4 linked regions of the Danio rerio genome follow. The protein of the gene in region 2 purifies or fractionates together with the protein of the main gene of each other region. This does not show direct contact. Links are inferred from orthologs where the notes say so. Each region holds a gene or a part of one and is shown on either strand. Other genes may lie near its edges. The genes, in order: kif23, racgap1, shcbp1 and fam98a.

What was found.
Region 1: the proteins of racgap1 (region 2) and kif23 purify together in Homo sapiens (co-immunoprecipitation; 10 studies listed by BioGRID and IntAct, counting the BioPlex papers as one, with this or other methods). This does not show direct contact. The link is inferred for Danio rerio from reciprocal best matches to the Homo sapiens genes RACGAP1 and KIF23.
Region 3: the proteins of racgap1 (region 2) and shcbp1 purify together in Homo sapiens (affinity purification with mass spectrometry; 8 studies listed by BioGRID and IntAct, counting the BioPlex papers as one, with this or other methods). This does not show direct contact. The link is inferred for Danio rerio from reciprocal best matches to the Homo sapiens genes RACGAP1 and SHCBP1.
Region 4: the proteins of racgap1 (region 2) and fam98a purify together in Homo sapiens (co-immunoprecipitation; 3 studies listed by BioGRID and IntAct, with this or other methods). This does not show direct contact. The link is inferred for Danio rerio from reciprocal best matches to the Homo sapiens genes RACGAP1 and FAM98A.

The regions. Positions count from the first base shown.
Region 1 is NC_133193.1:21,843,669-21,848,837, reverse strand, and holds the start of kif23 (kinesin-like protein KIF23), read left to right. Parts: upstream 1-1,864; 5' UTR 1,865-1,894; coding exon 1,895-1,908; intron 1,909-2,402; coding exon 2,403-2,469; intron 2,470-2,544; coding exon 2,545-2,673; intron 2,674-5,169.
Region 2 is NC_133198.1:36,721,075-36,724,363, reverse strand, and holds part of racgap1 (rac GTPase-activating protein 1), read left to right. Parts: intron 1-1,464; coding exon 1,465-1,663; intron 1,664-2,021; coding exon 2,022-2,127; intron 2,128-2,416; coding exon 2,417-2,549; intron 2,550-3,289.
Region 3 is NC_133182.1:46,427,722-46,432,841, reverse strand, and holds the start of shcbp1 (SHC SH2 domain-binding protein 1), read left to right. Parts: upstream 1-1,693; 5' UTR 1,694-1,823; coding exon 1,824-2,001; intron 2,002-2,490; coding exon 2,491-2,703; intron 2,704-2,788; coding exon 2,789-2,904; intron 2,905-3,015; coding exon 3,016-3,224; intron 3,225-5,120. UniProt on the Homo sapiens protein: May play a role in signaling pathways governing cellular proliferation, cell growth and differentiation. May be a component of a novel signaling pathway downstream of Shc. Acts as a positive regulator of FGF signaling in neural progenitor cells.
Region 4 is NC_133192.1:24,538,282-24,543,242, reverse strand, and holds the start of fam98a (protein FAM98A), read left to right. Parts: upstream 1-1,961; 5' UTR 1,962-2,024; coding exon 2,025-2,065; intron 2,066-2,797; coding exon 2,798-2,946; intron 2,947-3,068; coding exon 3,069-3,203; intron 3,204-4,961. Other genes in the region: uncharacterized protein si:ch211-195b21.5, read right to left, coding at 300-433, 928-1,143. UniProt on the Homo sapiens protein: Positively stimulates PRMT1-induced protein arginine methylation. Involved in skeletal homeostasis. Positively regulates lysosome peripheral distribution and ruffled border formation in osteoclasts.

The sequences.
Region 1 (5,169 bases), on a different chromosome or scaffold from region 2:
AGCTATGTTAAGTGGCCTGAAAAGATTCTAATCCGGAGGAATATAAGTCTGTAAAATTTGTAATTTGTGTGTTTATTATTCTTTTTTTTTGTAAATGTTTTGTGTTTTTGTCTGCTTCAAATCACATTCCTAAAATTTGCACTATTTCAAAGCACATTTCCATGTTCCAAGCACATGAATCACATTTATAATAATTTTTATCCAAGTGCCTATTTTAAATAAGGCTTTTTGAACACTGTATTTGTGAAGTCTTTGTCTTGTAAAGAAACTGTATTGAGAAGATATGCTATTTTTCTAAATAAAACTTTAAAGATAACTCTCCGTGTCCCGTGTCTCTCTCTCTCTCTATAGATGGATATCAAAGATGTAATTTTCCATTTTGGCATCTGAAATAAAAAAGTTTAACTGCAGAATTTATGATAAATATGTGTTGGCGCATGTAAAAATATGAATGCAACTAAGTTGAATATTATATAGTTACATATAACTTTGATGAAAAAAGTGATAAATTGTATGTTTCATCATTCTGTGTAACCCAAAATTTATGCAAGAAATACTTTAGTCATAAAACCATACATTTTATTATAAACTGAATTTATTAAAGAAAATGAAAGAATAAGTGATTAAACTAAGTGTGTTAAAATGTTCTTGCAGACATTTGAAGAAATGTGGCAAACCATAAAATCTTTTGTTTTTTAAAAATAATTTTTACGTTTATTTTAAAAGGATGATAAACAGTTATAAAGACAGTTATAATGTAAACTAAATCAAGACATCCCAATGTACAACTAAATGTATCAAAACGCATTTTATAAATATATATATATATATATATATATATATATATATATATATATATATATATATATATATAAATTATTTTTAAAAATATAATTCGGCCAACACAATTAGCCCCTTTTTTTCGCTATTTTTTTTTCGATAGTCTACAGAACAAACCATCACTATACAACTTGCCTAATTACCCTAACCTGCCTAGTTAACTTTATTAACCTAGTTAAGCCTTAAAATGTCCCTTTAAGCTGTATAGAAGTGTCTTAAAAAAGGTCTAGTAAAATATTATTCACTGTCATCATGGCAAAGATAAAATAAATCAGTTATTAGAAATACGTTATTAAAAGTATCATGTTTAGAAATGTGTTGAAAAAAAATCTCTGTTAAACAGAAATTGGGGAAAAACTAAAAATAAACGGGGGCTATTAATTCTGACTTCAAATGTGTGTGTGTAAATATATAATTTATTCCTCTGCTTATAATAATATTTAATATTAGGCTATTATAATATTCAAATATACATAAAAGTTTTAACACAAGCAGACAGACACGTATTTTTCGATTTTTGCGTTTTGTTTGTTTTTCTTTATTTTTTATTAATGCTTAAAGAACAAAGTACACAACAATACAAATACAAAAAGAAAGAAAAGAGAGCATCAGGGGTGTACAAAATACAAACTAACGTTATAAGACAAACAAATATATTTGTAAGTATGCATTCGGGTAAAGGGAAATGTGAGATCACAGGATCTTGAAGGTTTCATGTAAAACAATGCTTTTTAAATTGATATTACTTTTTCATTCAGTAATTAAAAATCGTATACTCCTTAAGAATATTTTAAATCTTCTTTGCATTTTTTATTAACAGAGTTCATTGTTTTCCTTTATGTAAGCTCCTGGCTTAAACCGGAATTTGTCAAGCGCCCATTAGGCGGGGCTTAAGGCGGGACATCCGCTCTTCTGAGGAGTGTTTGAGCTCGCTGATTGGTCACATTTGAAAAATCTGTGTCTGATGCGGACGAGGGAACGTTTGAAACTTCGGATTTGTATACGGTCAACAAGAAGGTAACAGCGTCGTGGAATTAAACTAAAACATCTCAGCATGATTAGGCAAGCGTAAGTATTTTATGCCGACTTGTGTTTTAGTTGTGCTAAATAGATAACCAGTAATTCAAAGTTCGTTTAGTCAGTCTGTTGTTTCATACGGACGTTGAGTGGTGTTCAGCAGGCATTTGTTAACGTTAGCCATCTAGTGTAACTCACCGCCTGTTGCGTTTACTTTAGCGTTAATCGTTTAGAATTAATCCACCGTCTCTGCCTAAGAAGTTTTACTTTATTTCTCTACTTTACTATTTGTTTTAGAAGTTTAATAATTTGTTATCTACATTATTATCGATAAACGTCAAACACTATATTTAGTTTCAAATTCCAGATTTAGTTTAACGTTAGATTAAAATTGTATAAGTAATCTACTGATTGTCTCTTTTATAGTGTAACTCTAAAACGTCATTTAACGTTATATTAAGTTAGGACTCTTCATATTTAGTTCGTCTATTTTTATTTTAAGTCGTGTTTACTAACTTGTATGTTGTCTGAATTTATTGTTAAAGGAAGGGCAAGACCCCCCGCCGCCCTCCTCCAAAAAAACCTTCAAACAACCAAAAGGACCCTGTTGGAGTATGTTGTAACTTGTCCTCACATTTAGTTAATCGAAATTGTGATAAATATATTAATTTGAGATCTCTTTGACAGGTGTATTGTCGAGTTCGGCCACTGGGTGCTGAAGATGAGGAATGTTGCATTGAGGTTATAAGTAACACCACCATTCAGTTACATGCTCCTGATGGACTCAAAGCCAACAGGAATGGGGAATTCAAAGAGGTTAGTGGACGTGTGCCAACCGTTTACTCATAAGAAGTCATTGAGGTAAAGTTGGTTTTATATTCGCTCATTTGTTCAGTGACAACTTGTGACATGCTCCCTATAGTGTTTACCTTGGAACTTTAAATATTCGGTCTGAAACCACATTTACCTATGACTTCAAAACAACAATAGCAATATTTACTTGACTGTGAACAGTGCTGTACTTTGATAGTCATTGGCTGCTAACATGATTTCTCTATTTAGAATTTGTAAACACTTTTGTGAAAGTATATTATAAAGGAGGAAGTCAGAATGTGCCAATATAAAACCAACTTTACCTCTATTTAAGAAGCCTATTTTTTTGCATTTCGTGAGGAATTGAAGAGTTAATTTATCTTGCACTCATTTACTCACTCTCGTGTCATTCCAAACCCAGAACACTTTTGTTCATCCTGAAAACATAAATGTAGATATTTTATAATAAAAAAGTGAAGTATTTCTACTCCACTGTTAATGTATTCATGCAAAACTGCTGCTGAAATGTGTCCATATGAACTGAGCAATCTGAAGAGATTAAATTGTACTAGAGCGCGGTATAAAATTTCAGCATTGATATCACAATGCGCAGATTTGAAATAATCGCGTTGCATGATCAACAATGTTGAGTCTAGATTATAATTAACCAGGAGCTACAGTTCAGAATGTGAGATTTGTGGATTTATCACTGTAATGTTTAAATATAATAAAGTGAATGTTTATCAGTTTTTTTTTCTGCGACTGTCTGATCATTTCAGGAGAGTTAAAAGCAATCAGGCACAATAAATTATAATGTTTGGAGGTTAAATAAAGATTAATTAAATTGAATTATGTATACGATCGTATTTAGACTATATAGTGTTTTTTTTTATATTTAATTATTTAATTTGTGTCCCTGACTACAGTTAGACTCCCTTAGAAATATCATAAATCACATTTTATTTTACTTATCTATGCTTTTTTTTTAAACATATTATGCAGATGTACTCCCTGCAAAATTATTACAATCTTAAAAAATATGAATTATTATTATTATTTCTTCAACCAAGCTGTTCAAGGCATCTTGTGAATTTTTATTCATATCACAATGTATTTTTCAAAATCGTGCAGCCCTAAATTGTATTTTATTATATTGTATTGAATTTTTGGTCATGAACTGCAGCTTGTACAATATCTGTTTGACGAGATTTGTGGTCTGAAGATAATTCATTTTCAGTAAAAATCTTTGCAACACAAGGGATAGTTTTTGCAGTAGTTAAAGGTGCAGTAGGTGATTGTCTTCAGAAACATTTTTTGTTGTGCTGGTTAAAAGTCTCTTTGCATTCCAATAGTAATGATTAAAGTAAATGATCTAAGTGTATTTTTATACTCTGAGTGAGGCATAAGACGAAAAAATGTTCATCCATTTAAAATTCATTGGCCCCACAATTCCCATAATTCTAATAAGTAGCCCAAACAGTCTGTCAGCAAATGTACATTTGAACATCTGCACACCAATTCACGCAGATCTGCCATTTACGCGTGAGTGCGCGCCACATTCATTACATGCACAGAAGAGAGAACGATTTTTTTATTTATTTTTTAAACAAATGCTGAATCAAAACTTTTTAAAATCCTGAATCAATATTGGAATTACTTTTGCACGTTGGAGGAAGGATGATGCCTTTGCTGAAGTATTTATATTAGACAGGTGATGTTATGTTTTAAAAGTATTTTAGTCACTCAAAGCTGATGTTGACTGTGTTGTTTTTTGAATCAGTTATATGCACAGGAGTGTTGTTTAGTCACATCAATCTTTTGGCGAGACATTTCAGTGGCTGTTCAATTTCATAAGAGACCTTTTACAGCATTGACAATGTTTATTTAGTTTAACAACAACTAAATGGAACTATTCTGCCTAGCCTGTTTACTGTGGGGAAATTGGTTTTATATTCACATTGGTTCATTTTTGGTCCCTATATTGTTTACCATGCTACTTTGAATATTCGGTCTGAAATGGCATGCAAGAATGGCTTTGTAATGTGTAAGTCCTGCACCCTGCCGGCCAACCACTAATCATACTGTAGTCGCTTTAGGGCAAAGCGTGTGAGAGAGACCAGAGATCTTTCCTTGCATGATGCATGAAATATTGCACATGACAGGTTTTGCTTGCTACACAACTGAAAATGTGCTAGATATAATACAGTTTTTCATTCAGAATTGTAGTATTATAAAGTACTATAATGTTTTCTAACTAGTAAATGACAAGATCTAGTGGATTGTCTACTGTTATCTTTAATGTACGCGTTTGTGATTTCAGGAGGCAGGATAGGGAATGTATTTCAAAGATATTATGCTAACCGGTTAGCAGATTGGCAGATCACCTACTGCACCTTTAACCATTTATTCTCATTATCGTGAATCATTCTTATAAATACCAGTAAAAGCACTGTAAATATTCATACAACATGCAGATTATGTGTCTTGTTTATTCAATCA
Region 2 (3,289 bases):
ATGCTTAACGTTCGCTGAGATTTTGCTCGCATAAACAGTTCCTGTGAGTTTTGCTCTATAACAGCTAAAGTGTGTCCAGCTGTGTTGTCATTAGCTATGTGTCCATCCAAAAATGCGAATAAAATGTATGCGCAAAGCTAGATTATTGCAAACAGACGTGCGAATAAAGCAGCGTTTCCATCCAATGAGTCACAGCCAAATCATCAACACAGAAAACAGAATTTGCTGCGATAGGAGATGCTGCGTGAATCTTTTCTTCATTTAATAAATGCGCCTCAGAAGACATTGCAGACAAGCAGTGAACACACGTGGTGTTTGAAGGTGCAAGACACTGAGCACAGACGCTCTTGATTCTGAAGTTCATTAATAATAAAATAACACTAATACTGAAATAGTTAAGGCATTTTAGAATGCCCAGAGCAACATTTCAGATGTTTTTCAATGTGGTCAGCCTGCTGGTTTGTCTATTCGTGCACTTATTTGTATTTTCTATTCGTATTTTTATCACATAATCTCTTATAACAAAACCACATGACCTTTTTTAATGCGCATCTTTTCTTATATATTAGCCAGTTTATCCTACTCTGTTATGTGCACATGATTTTTATGTGCATTTTGTAAATGTATGCACATCTTGGCATCCATCAACCATATTTTTATGTGCATATCCAAAATGTGTATAAAAATAGGTGGGTGGAAACGTAGCTCGAGATGTCAGCAGGCACTCACAGTCGCATTTAACGTGTCGCATATCTAATTGTCTCGTGTGCACATGAAAGCGTGGCCCTCACGCAGGTGGGCATGCGCGAATGTTGGATTTGCGTGAACAGAGATGCACAAAAGCCCAAATCTGCATTTGTTGACAAAAAAGTTTGAGCTGAATTATGGGAGATGTCGGCCCGAAAATATCTTATTTATATTTTATTTATTTATTTATATTTTAGAGTTTTATGTCTCATCCAGAATATATAAATACATATAATTTAGCATTTAGATCATTTAGTTTTTATCATTACTATTGGACAGTGAAGAGAGTTTCAACCAGTACAACAAAAAAATGTTTCTGAAGACAATCACCTACTGCACCTTTAAATAAAACTCTTAGAAAGCTCAGATACCCGGTTAAAGGTGGTCATGATCAAACGCAAAACAATGTCAGAATACAGTATTGTTGTTGTTGTTGAAGTGTTTGCTATCACTTCATCAGTAAAATGTGAACCAATAGCAAAGACACGTCATACACACAGCAGATTTTACATGCACTGCCGCCAACAGACACTGTTTACTAACAAGATGACTGTGCCAAATCTTGGCCTGGCTTTCGTAATGTAATGTTTTTGGCCATTTTCCTTTATGTAAACATAAATCATTTTAAAAACAGTGTGTAAACATGTAACTTGTTATGTTGTAAACATACCCTAACTCTTGAGCACTACCTATAATACGCACATATTGCTTTGTCAGACTGGTTTGTACCGGGTATCTGGCTCTGATCGAGTGGTCAAGGACCTGAAAGAAAAGTTCCTGCGTGGGAAGACTGTTCCCCTGCTCAGCAAGGTGGAAGACATCCATGCTATCACTGGCCTCCTCAAGGACTTCCTAAGGAACCTCAAAGAGCCCCTGCTAACCTTCCGCCTCAATCGGGCATTCATGGATGCTGCAGGTATGTGATGTATAAATGTACACTGCTTTTTAACAGTTTGGGCTTTCTGAAAGTGTTTATTGGATCAAAACTGCAGTAAAAATATTGTCAGTTTTAATAAAAGTTTATTCTATGAAATATAAAATTAGCGTATGCAATTTACTCCTGTTTTGACTAGCATTTCTCCAGTCTTCATGAATCACTCTAATATCTTTTGAGATGTAATATTTTGTACCATAAATGTGCTTTGCTGACTGTTTTTGTTGGATAAAAGTGTTTTTTATTGTCCTAAATGTTTGAATTGTAGTACACCTGGGGGTGATAAGATAGGTGTGTGAATTTCAGTATATTTATTTATTTTGTCTATTTATTTTTGTAGAGCTGTCAGATGATGACAACAGCATTGCCTTGATGTATCAGAACATCAGTGATCTTCCACAGCCCCACAGAGACACTCTGGCCTTCCTCATCATCCATCTACAAAGGTAAATAGCAAACATTCTCTGATTTTACTCTCTGCTTTTTATTTTAATGCTAATTAGTTGTGAAATTCAAACGTTTCTTTCGAGATGATAAATGTATTTGTGAAATATTAAAGGTTTAAAGCAGTTGTGGTAGCAGTTTAACTAATAGGCCCTTTTAACATGCTGGAGATGTTTTTTTCCTAATTTTTTTCAGTTTAGTAACTAATATTACTGCTTAATTTAGGGAAAACAGTCCTCTCAAAAAGCAATTACTGTTCTTACTTTTTCTTTTTCTTTCTTTCATCATCAGGGTGGCCCAAAGCCCCGCTACAAAGATGGACATCACCAATCTGGCTCGTGTATTTGGACCCACAATTGTAGGCCATGCCGTTTCTAACCCAGAACCAATGACCATCCTACAGGACACAAAACGACAACCGAGGGTACGTGTTCATGGATAGTTTCCTATTTACAGCCGGTCACAATCGAACACTACAAAATACATATGAAATGAGATCTAAAATATTTTGAGCTTGTTAGATTTAAACCACTTTCAGAGCTTTGCTAAAGTTCATTGATTTGCTAGTGTAGATGCTTGTGTAATGGAATACATTTGAAAAGCTACAAAGACTACCTACACTCTACCTGCTAACTTCACTCATGACCATTAAAACAAGGTATTCATACTGAACTGCATAGTACCAAAGCATATTATGGTTGAAATTGTATTGGACATGCACTTCCTTTTGAGCATGCTCATAAGCAATTTCATCACAGTGATTACACTTACCAAAGTGATCTTGAGCGTGATGGAGGGGCTCAACAACAAAATCTGAAATACAGTTGAAAGGACAGATGTATTTAAGCTCAATTTTAGGTCCTCCTAGAGCTTTAAAAAATTTATTCAGCTGATCTCTGGGTTTGACTGAAGCACTTTCAGCTTCGCTTAGTATAAATCGGACTAGACCATTAGCATCTCACTCAATATCGTTAGCAATTCACTCAGAAAATATTCGTTGCTGCATAATATTAATATCGCTACGTGCCTAATATTGATTCGTCGCTGTATAATATCGCTGCCTAATATCCCTACGTGCCTAGTAATTATACGTCGCTGCGTAATATCGTTGCCTAATATCGATACGTGCCTAATATTGATGTGTCCCTGCGTAATATTGTTGCC
Region 3 (5,120 bases), on a different chromosome or scaffold from region 2:
CAACAGAGACAGAACCCTCTTGTCCTGCTGCTTGTGGATGAACTAAACTGCTCTCAGGCGTTCGTTGTTGTGGGAGAAGTGGCACTAAACTCATAGATTTAAATTAGACATTGCCAATGTACTAAAAGCTACTACTATAATAATAATAATAAAATAATAATAATTATTATCATTATTTACTATTATATAGTGGTTGAGCCAACTTTTGGCAAAAAAAGCCAACAAATTGGTTATTTTTGTAACCCAAATTGTTGGGTTAACCTTAACAACCCAATGGGACATACGTGTTTTATATCCAAGGGACATATATGTGTTATACATGAGTATATATGTTTCTGGCATACAGTTGAATTCAGAATTATTCAAAATTATATATATATATATTTTTTTTATATTTCCCAAATGATGTTTAACAGAGCAAGGACATTTTCACAGTATGTCTGATAATATTTTTTTTCTTCTGGAGAAACTCTTATTTGTTTTATTTTGTCTAGCTATTTTTGAATTTATTAATTTTTTTTTACTAAATAAAATTTTAAACACCATTTTAAGGACAAATTTTAAGCAATTTTTTTTTCGATTGTCTACACTAACAAACCATCGTTATACAATAACTTTCCTAATTACCCTAACCTGCCAAGTTAACCTAATTAACCTAGTCATGCCTTTAGTTGTCACTTTAAGCATAGAAGTGTCTTGAAAAATATCTTGTCAAATATTATTTACTGTCATCATGACAAAGATAAAATAAATCAGTTATTAGAAATAAGTTATTAAAACTATTATGTTTAGAAATGTGTTGAAAAAAAAATCTGCTCTCCGTTAAACAGAAATTGGAAAGAAAAAAAATGAAAAGGGGGGCTAATAATACAGGGGGGCTAATAATTCTGACCTCAACTGCATGTGGAGAAATATGTTTCTGATATATATGTGGAGATTTAGCTTTCTGACATATATAGAACATATACGTTTCTGACATATCTGGACATATCCTGAAATATAAGGGACATGGAATTCAGACATTTTTGGGACTATTGTTTCTGACACGGACATATTTGTTTCTGGCATGTATGAGGACATATGTGTTTCAGACATATATGGGACATGTTTTTCTTGGCATACATGTGGGCTTATATGTTTCTGACACAATTTGGGACATTTAAATATGTGGAAATATATCTTTCTGATATGGGACATATTTGATTCTGCCATATATCTGGACATGTATGATTATGAAACATAAAGGACATGTTATGATTCAGACATTTTTGGGACTCGTTTGTAATTGTTTATTTAACTACTGAGTACTATTTATTTATTACATAGATGGTTGGGTAGAATGTGAGATAGCCTATGTTTAGGGTTACGTATTTATGCATAATTTATAGTAATTACAAGAGTATGGAACTTGTCTAATTACGTAATTAAAAGTGTTACAAAATATTTAACATGTTGAATATAAATGTTTATATTGTCAATGTCTATATTGTAAATACTTCATATAATTTATTTAACCTACTTTTGTACCGAAACAAAATGTTCAAGTTTAAAAGAACAAATAGCCTACATGATGACCTGTTCATAACGGGAGCTATAATAACTAAATAAACTATAAACTGCGCTTTGCCCCTTTAAGAGTGCGTCAGTTTGCCCCGCCCCGCCAGTTTATTGGGCGCTCCGCCTGGGCAGCGTTTGAAAATACAAGTGAAGGGAGGAGACAGACAAGACAGGCCAACAGAAACTGTTAAGCGAGTTATTAAGCGACATTTTAACAAACTTTAAACTTACTTTACTGTAATATATTGACATTTTAAGCTTCAGTGATGTCCGGGGAAGTTGAGTGTCCAAAGCCAGAGGAGGTAAGGGACTGCGAGACTGAAAACGGCGTTGAAATCATCATCAAACCAACCAGCGGAGATCCACAAAATAATAACGACCAGAATGTAAATCAGCAGACCATCTTTAATGACATCAGACAAAACCACAGTCGGGTTTCAAAAGGTTTGTGATATACACGCTTTGTAAATATTGTCGTTTGATTTGGTATGTTTTCTGTCAGGTTAAAATGTCAATGACTTAAATTTAAACATAGAGGTAAAATTGGCTTTATTTTTGTATTTTCAGACATTCTCCTTAATAATATAATTTCAGAAAAATATTCTTCGCAAATTCTAAATAGGGAACTCATATTAGCAGCCAGTGACTATCAGTACAACACTGCTCACAGTGAATTGGATCATGTTAATGTTGTTTAGAAGTCATACTTGCATGCTAATTCCGATCGAATATTCAACGTAACATTGTAAACAAAATATAGAGACTGCTAAATCAACGAATGTGCGAATTTGAAACCAACTTTACCTCTATAATTTAGACTTAATCTTTAGCCACACTTTTGACTTTTACATGTTTGTTTTTTTTGCACGTAGTAGGACGCAGTTTGTGTAAGATATGCCACTTTATTGATCCACCAATGTACATTGTTTTCAGAGTTATTTCAGGCAGTAGGTGAGGAGGATGAGAATGATGATGATGATGATGATGATGATGACAGTGGCACACATTATCTAAATGGTGACGATAGACCCTGCACTCATCTACAGCGAGCAGAGAGACCAGGAAATGGAGGACTGCCGGACACCTTTCAAACAGACAATCTTCTGTACTATGAAAGATTCAAGGCCTATCAAGATTACATGCTTGGTAACACTTCAGACACTTTTGATAGACATTCATAACAATAAATGACTTAAGAAGAGTATATTTATGAACCTAAAATGTCTGACAGGTGACAGTAAACCATCTGAAGTACAGTCTTTCACTGCTGAATACTTGGAGAAGATCGTGGAGCCATGTGATTGGCAAGGCATATGGCACACCGATGTATTTGATGTGCTGGTTGAAGTAAGCATATGAAATTTGTTTAATTAGTTTTATTTTTTTTACAATTAAAACATTGAAGCATCTACACAGTGGAATGTGGAGAAAGCTGAGTAATGTGTGTTGTTGTTGTAGGTTGTTGACGTTGATTGTAAAGCGCTGAAGGCAAAAGTAGAGCTGGTACTGCCGATGGCGTGTGAGACCAGAGGCTGTGATCTTACTGAAGAATCCATGAAGGCTCTGCTGGAGGCTACACTTCATAAAGTACCTCTTATGGAGCTTTCGGTTGTCTATGATGAGTCTGGAGACTTTGATCAGACTGCTTTGGCCCTGGAACACCTTAGGTAATCCAACTTTTTTTTTTTTTTTTTTAAGGTGAATTTTTAATTTTTTTGACCAGTCTTACTGTTTACTTTATATTGACAGACCAGTATACATGATACGAGAATGAGCAATACCTAAAAATAGTAATTAAAAATGTTTAATGTATGTAATAATTATGGTTTGGTACTATTTCAGATGTCACGATTTTTTATCTGTTGGTTGAAATGAATTCTTGATTCAGTTTATGATCTTTGACTGACTTTAATTTTTGTGCATTAAGCATGAATAGCTATTGCTCTTCTAAAAAAACTAAATTAAACAAAACAGTGAACATAAGTTTACAAATGGTAAAAAAGAAATTAAGATAATTTAACCTTTATAAAACTGTAACATTATAAAAATATAATAAACTTTATTTCAAGTACATATATGTGACTTATATATTCTTAATATTTGGTACATTTCAGGCATTTCCCCATTTATTTTCCTTTGTTAATCACTGACAGAGTTGACAAACACATTGCAGTAACACAATAACAAATAATAAAAAAGATTTTTCCTTTAGCTTAAGATGCTAACCTCAAACCAGAATAATACAAAAAACAGATGTTTCTCCTACATTTTTATTTGGCTTATTATAGTAAAGATGAAAATTAGACGTACAAACTATATTTATGGATGTATTGAACTAATTTGTATTATTCTTTAAAACTGTTTCATTAATATTTTGTTTTATATTTGGAACAATAAAATAAGAGATTTTGTCTCAGGAACATGAAATGCATCCTTAATTCTAGAGTCGATATATTCCTAAAAGCTGGAACGATTATGTAAAAGCAAAGCGTGCAGGACTGAAAAAATGGCACACCTCAGTGCACACATCTCTAATACTGCTTTAGAGTGGTATTTGAGGCTAAGCATCTACCCATCTATAATCACATTTTAAGAACTTGTGTTATCAAACTGTCAAGGTAATTTTCCATTTGCAGTAAGTTAATCTATTTGGGGATCACATCAAATTTATGTAAAACATAAGTGTTGCACATTTTAATGGAGCAAAGATGTTTGTGTATTTTGTAAAACAGTTGCACCTTCTTAACTTTACAAGCATCTAAATAAAATATTCAAATAGAACCTTTTATCAATGTTTACATTTTAAATAAGTGGCAAGAGGAATGGGATGCATTGAGAAATAATAAATTGTATGAAATACAACCTGAAATCTCAAACAGAGTTTCAAGACATTTTAATACTAGATTTGATTAAGGGATTTTTACCAGATATCATATTGGATATACAAGCTTAACCCATGCCTTTTGGCTCAGGTGAAGACCCCACTCAATGTTGGTACTGCAATGTTGGTAACTCCCCTTTCTGTAAAACACATTTTATTAGACTGTCCAGCTTTTAATGATTCCAGAAGTTTTTTTTTTTTAATGAATTAATTATCTTAAGGACATCTTTAACGAAGTGACACCCTACATTTTTATTTTTATCATGTATTAACACGAAAAAAAAAAAAACTTTAATTTATGTATTCATTTGTTTGTTGTTTTAATTGTATATTTCTATTGAAATGGTCCTGCCATAAAAATAGCCTTGTTTGCTGACTTGACATTAAATAAAACAAATACATTACATTTCACTCAACATAGACTATCAAAAATAAGTTTAATTGTCAATGTAAAGAGCAACGCGCATTACATGTACCAAATTTTATTAAAATATATAAGATTTTAAAATGTTTAATCAAATAAACGTGGTACATTTTTAATACATGTTCATTGTTGTTTATTTGTGCATAATACCTTAACTAATGTACTTGTATATTTTTTTATATTTTATGTAGCCAAAAGCAGATTTTAAATCTCTAAAGGAATAAAAATTCAGTTTTTCCCAATTTATATACCTAAAAA
Region 4 (4,961 bases), on a different chromosome or scaffold from region 2:
GTCTTTGGACTGTGTGAGAAAACGAAGCACAAAATGCAGCAACTAAAATGTCACTTAGTGTATAATAGTTTATACATCAAATCATCATCTTGTCTGGCATTTTAGGGCCACAATAACATATTAAAATGTTTATTAAAAGTCTATCACATTGCAACATTAGAGTACAGTTTATACGGCTTTAATAATTTATTTTTATTTGATCCTTTTTGATCTTTTGCCCTTGACCCACATACAGTTGTGTGACACAAATTGATCTCACTTTAAACAAACTTTGACTCTACTTTTTTCTCCAATCATACCTGACTTCTTGGTTTTGCTCATCCAGACTTTTAGTTGACCAGTTTTGTGTGGACTGACCAAGCAAAAGCTGATTTGATGGTGTGATCATCGTGGAACCGCTCTGGTCAGTAGTGAGACCACCAAAGGGTCGGTTCTGCAGTGGAGAAAGAGCAACATAAAAAATATCTGTCATTAATAATAATCCTGTGAATGTGTTATTCAAGTAAAACATAGGCCATTGATTGACCTATAGTAGAAAGCCATGAAACCACAATGCATTTTATTCTCTTTAAATCTAAAAAAAAAAATAACGTTACCGCCAAATTACTTTTAACAAAAGTAAATCAGCATATAAGGTTAAATTAATTACTGAGATGCTAAACAATCCTTAAACTCATTTTTAATCACATGACATCACACTCATTGATTGCATGTCAAGTTCCACATACAATACCGAAATCATTGAACTATTATTTCGTGCACCGCTATCAAAATGCATATCTTGCATTAAATCCATAAATATACATGACATAGATATAATAAAACATATTTTAAAAGACGTAACGTACATCCGGTATTTCTATCAGCTCGATCTGTGGGACAAATAAGTGCAGGTTGTTTTTATGAATGCACAGTAAAAACTCGCACCTCGTAGAATGAATCTCTGTTGTAGTTTTCATTGCCTGGTCCGTACGGGCGTCCCGGAGGGGGAATAGGCTGCGGACTGCAGTATCGAGGCCCCGGAGGAGGAACCCCAAAAGGAGGACAGAACGGCGGAGGTCCGAAAGGTGCTATAGGGTGTCCGAAACGTGATGGAGGTACCGGTGCCCGGTGATAGTCGGGGTTCGACGGACCTCGGTACATTTTTAAACATCAATATCTCATAGATACATGTGTTGTTGTAACGAGTTTGTTTCCATTCACTCTGAGCTATGAGCTCTTTTGGGTCTAAAATGAGTCTGAGTCCAGTCACAGCGCCGTCTGCAGGACTGGAGAAGTAACGCACATTATATAGGCGATTCAAAACAATGCCTGTTCAAAACTGTTTTGCTCACTTTACAAAGGCAAAATGACTAATTCACACAAAATTGAAACTGTTAAATTTATAATTTAGATTTTTTTGCTTAGATTCTATTAATTTTATATATTTCACTTTATTTTATTTCGAGTTTGTACAATTTCTACACTTCATCATAGACACAACAAATATTTTTCAATATTTTTTATGCCAATAATTAAATTACCCAAGATATAAGATCATCGAAAAGGTACCATTATCCTAAAGTTACATTTCATAGCACATCATTTATTTGTTTGTTTATTTACTAATTCATGTTTGTTTTTATCAAATTTTTATTTATTTATTTTGGCCTTTTTTTAAAAAACATTTATCTTGACTTTTTTCGATTTGGTTCAGGTTTTTCTGGTTTTGGATTTACATGGAAACATTGTAGTCTGCATTATTTCGTGTATATGGGTTTTTTCCGATATTTATAAAATGTCATATTAAAATACAGCTTTATTTCATGATTTAATAAATAGTTATTTGTGTTTATTTGTCTTTTTATATCTTTAGAATATCGCGTGAAACATAAACATGGATTTAGTTGTTTAGACAGAGATGGTTTAGAGTTTTAGAAATATATTCCGGCATATATTTGGTCAGCTTAAAGTGCTGAGACGAGGGCCCCATTATGCCAACCTAGCATTGCAGTCGTTACGGCTGCTAGAGGGAGTGATTCACAATGGAAGTTACTGATATTCTTGACTCTTTGGAGGACCTGGGGTATGTGAATGAAGTCCCCATTTATAATATGTGTTTCTGTTGTCTTATTAGAGGTTTATATTTTGGTTTACGGCACAAATGTGATCATTAGCACGCGTGCTCTGGTTCGCCGGGTGTTCTGCATGGTCTGACACCCAGATCCGCTTCTCTTATTCTCAACGTCTGTAGTTTACATCTGCTTTAAGCTGTTATTTTCAAACGTTTTGTAACCCTCAGTAGTCGAGATCTGTTGTATGTCAGGTCATTTCAGAGCCTGGGCTACTGGCACATGTATTTGACAGCGTGATTTCTGTGATCAATGTTCTGATTTGGGCCGTGCAGCCCTGCCCAGCAGTGCTTAAATATCTCAAATATCGCCAGCGCCAGAAATAGCCTGAATCATCATAGCCTAAACGAACACACCTCTGTCACCACTGCTGTGTCAGACGAGTTTACAAGATTATCAAGTCCATAGACTGTTCTAGAATCAGTGCAGAACTGACAAACATGGGTGGGTTTTGGATGTTTTATGTAATGTATTTTTAATGCTATTTGATGACTGTACCTAATTGCTGTATAATGTCTATTATTGACTTAACACATTCAGCTTTAGAAATCTATATCAGAGATAAGCAGTTACGTTTTGCAGTGTCACAACACTGGTCAGTTCACATTCTCCCAAATAGAAGTGCAGCATGATCCAGGAAACCCTCTCAAAATGCAAATATAGTCAAACTGAATGTGTGTTTGCAGATACCAGGGTCCACTTCTAGAGGATGGAACTCTTGAGACAGCTGTGACTGGTGGTGCTGAATCTCCAGAGTTCACCAAACTGTGTGCGTGGCTTGTGTCTGAGCTGAAACTCTACTGCAAACTAGAGGAGAATGTGCAGGCGACCAACTGTGAGTTTGATACTGCGCACATCATATACTCAATCAGACCAAAGAAGAGTCATTTAGGTTGTGTTTCTGCAGAATTAAAATATGTAGGATTTGCCTGATGGATTTGGGTGTGGTGTTTGCAGGTCCAAGCGAGGCGGAGGGGTTTCAGCTGGAGATGAGTGGTCTTTTAGCTGAGCTGTGCTGTCCGTATCCTGCTCTGACCACGGGAGAGGTCACCAAACGTCTGCTGAATGCTAACAACTGCGTCTTACTGTTAAGTATGTAAACAGCAAAAAGGTTCTGATCATTTATGTGGTTGTTTAGAACGTGGGATACATTATTTTGTGAAATGTGGTATGTTTAACTAGGGCTGCACAATTCTGGCTAAAATCAGAATCACTTTTTTTTTTTGCTTAAAATCAAGATCACAATTTTCTCAGGATTCTGTAGATGTAAAATTAAGGTTATTATGAGTAGGCTATTATGATTGTTATTTCTCAAACATGGTAAAACAACAACAATAATTTTAAGTCTTATGTGTAGGTCTACTGTTGGTTAAAATGCTACATTTTGTATAGACTTGGAATGCTGGACTTGACTAGAGTTTAAAGGGTCACGAAACACCAAAACACATTTTTTGAGCTGTTGACAGTTGTATATGTGTCCCACACTGCTAAAAACACTATAAGGACACCTATATTTCACTAAAAAGTGTAAATTGGTTGTTTTTGCATTATTTCAAGCAAATTCGTACTTCCGGTTTGAAACAAATTTTTTAAGCTGCGTCACGGTCATGACATAATAGCGTTGTATTCCAGCGTGCAGACTGGGCGTCTGTGCCAGAGTGTGTCTTATCACGTCTTCTGCACGTCTAGTTTGCTGCAGTTAAGTTTCGTTTTCAATTTCTCTCTGTGAGAGCTCAGAGTCACGTGTGGATTAACAGTGTACGTGACGCTCGACAACAATAACTTACGTGTCTAAGGAGGATTATTGTTTACCTGAGAGCTGTTCTCATCTGCAAACGCTGAGATCCGGATTCGCTTGTAGTATTCTCTTCATAAAGACGCGGCTCTAGTAGTTGCTGGTGATTGTCCTGTCTCTACAGATTTGGTAAGTGAGCGACCAGTGCTCTTTGTTTATTCAGTTTGTTCGTATCTAACAAACTATTGCACCGAGTGTAAACACGTTAGCACCACAACCAAACTTTAACCTCGTGTAGGGTTTTTACCGCATTTAGTGACCGGAATAACACACGCGGCTTTCTGACGCTACCTGCCGTGTGCATCTAAGTTTCCGGGAAATGCAGAGGGTTTTTATTCTCTCACTCGCCGTGCGGTATCAAACATTGCATGAAAAATACACGCTTAGAGCAGTTCCTCGAATCAAATATCTCATTTGTCGTGAGGGGCATGAATGAATTCCCTTAATGAAAGAGCCAAACTGCAGTTAAAGTCCACCATTTAATAATTTGGCAAATAATTCGACTACAGATGTCCATGTAGGTTAAACACCATCACTTTCTACTGTGTGTGTGAATTTTGACTCTGAAACTCGCGCGCGCCCAAATAGACACTCCCACACCCTCCCACTTTAGTTCCTCCGACACTCCCCCCTAAACAGAGCTGGACACGCCCACTTTTCTGACTTTTTCCAAAGTAGAGGTGTGAAAACACCCTGCTGAAACGAGGGGGTTTCATGGCCCTTTAAAGAGCCCTTATTATGGGTTTTTGAAAACGACTTTCCATGTAGTCTGTAACAGTGAAGTGAACAGTGAAGTCAATTGTCCAGCAGAGGCTTAAATCTGAAAGTGGACAGTGTTTAAAACTATTGATTCGGTTATAAAAGAGTCAACTCATTGTGGTTCATAACCTAAGCCCCGCCCAATTGTTGCTTGCGCAAACCCGGGAAAATTTAAACCTGAGGTCCCGCCCATTAATACAGTAGCAAAGAAAAGGAAGACAAACAGATCCCAGTTGGATCAAGTCATGAAGACGCTGTGCTTTGCTGGATATTATTGGAAGTATGTGGGAAAGTTA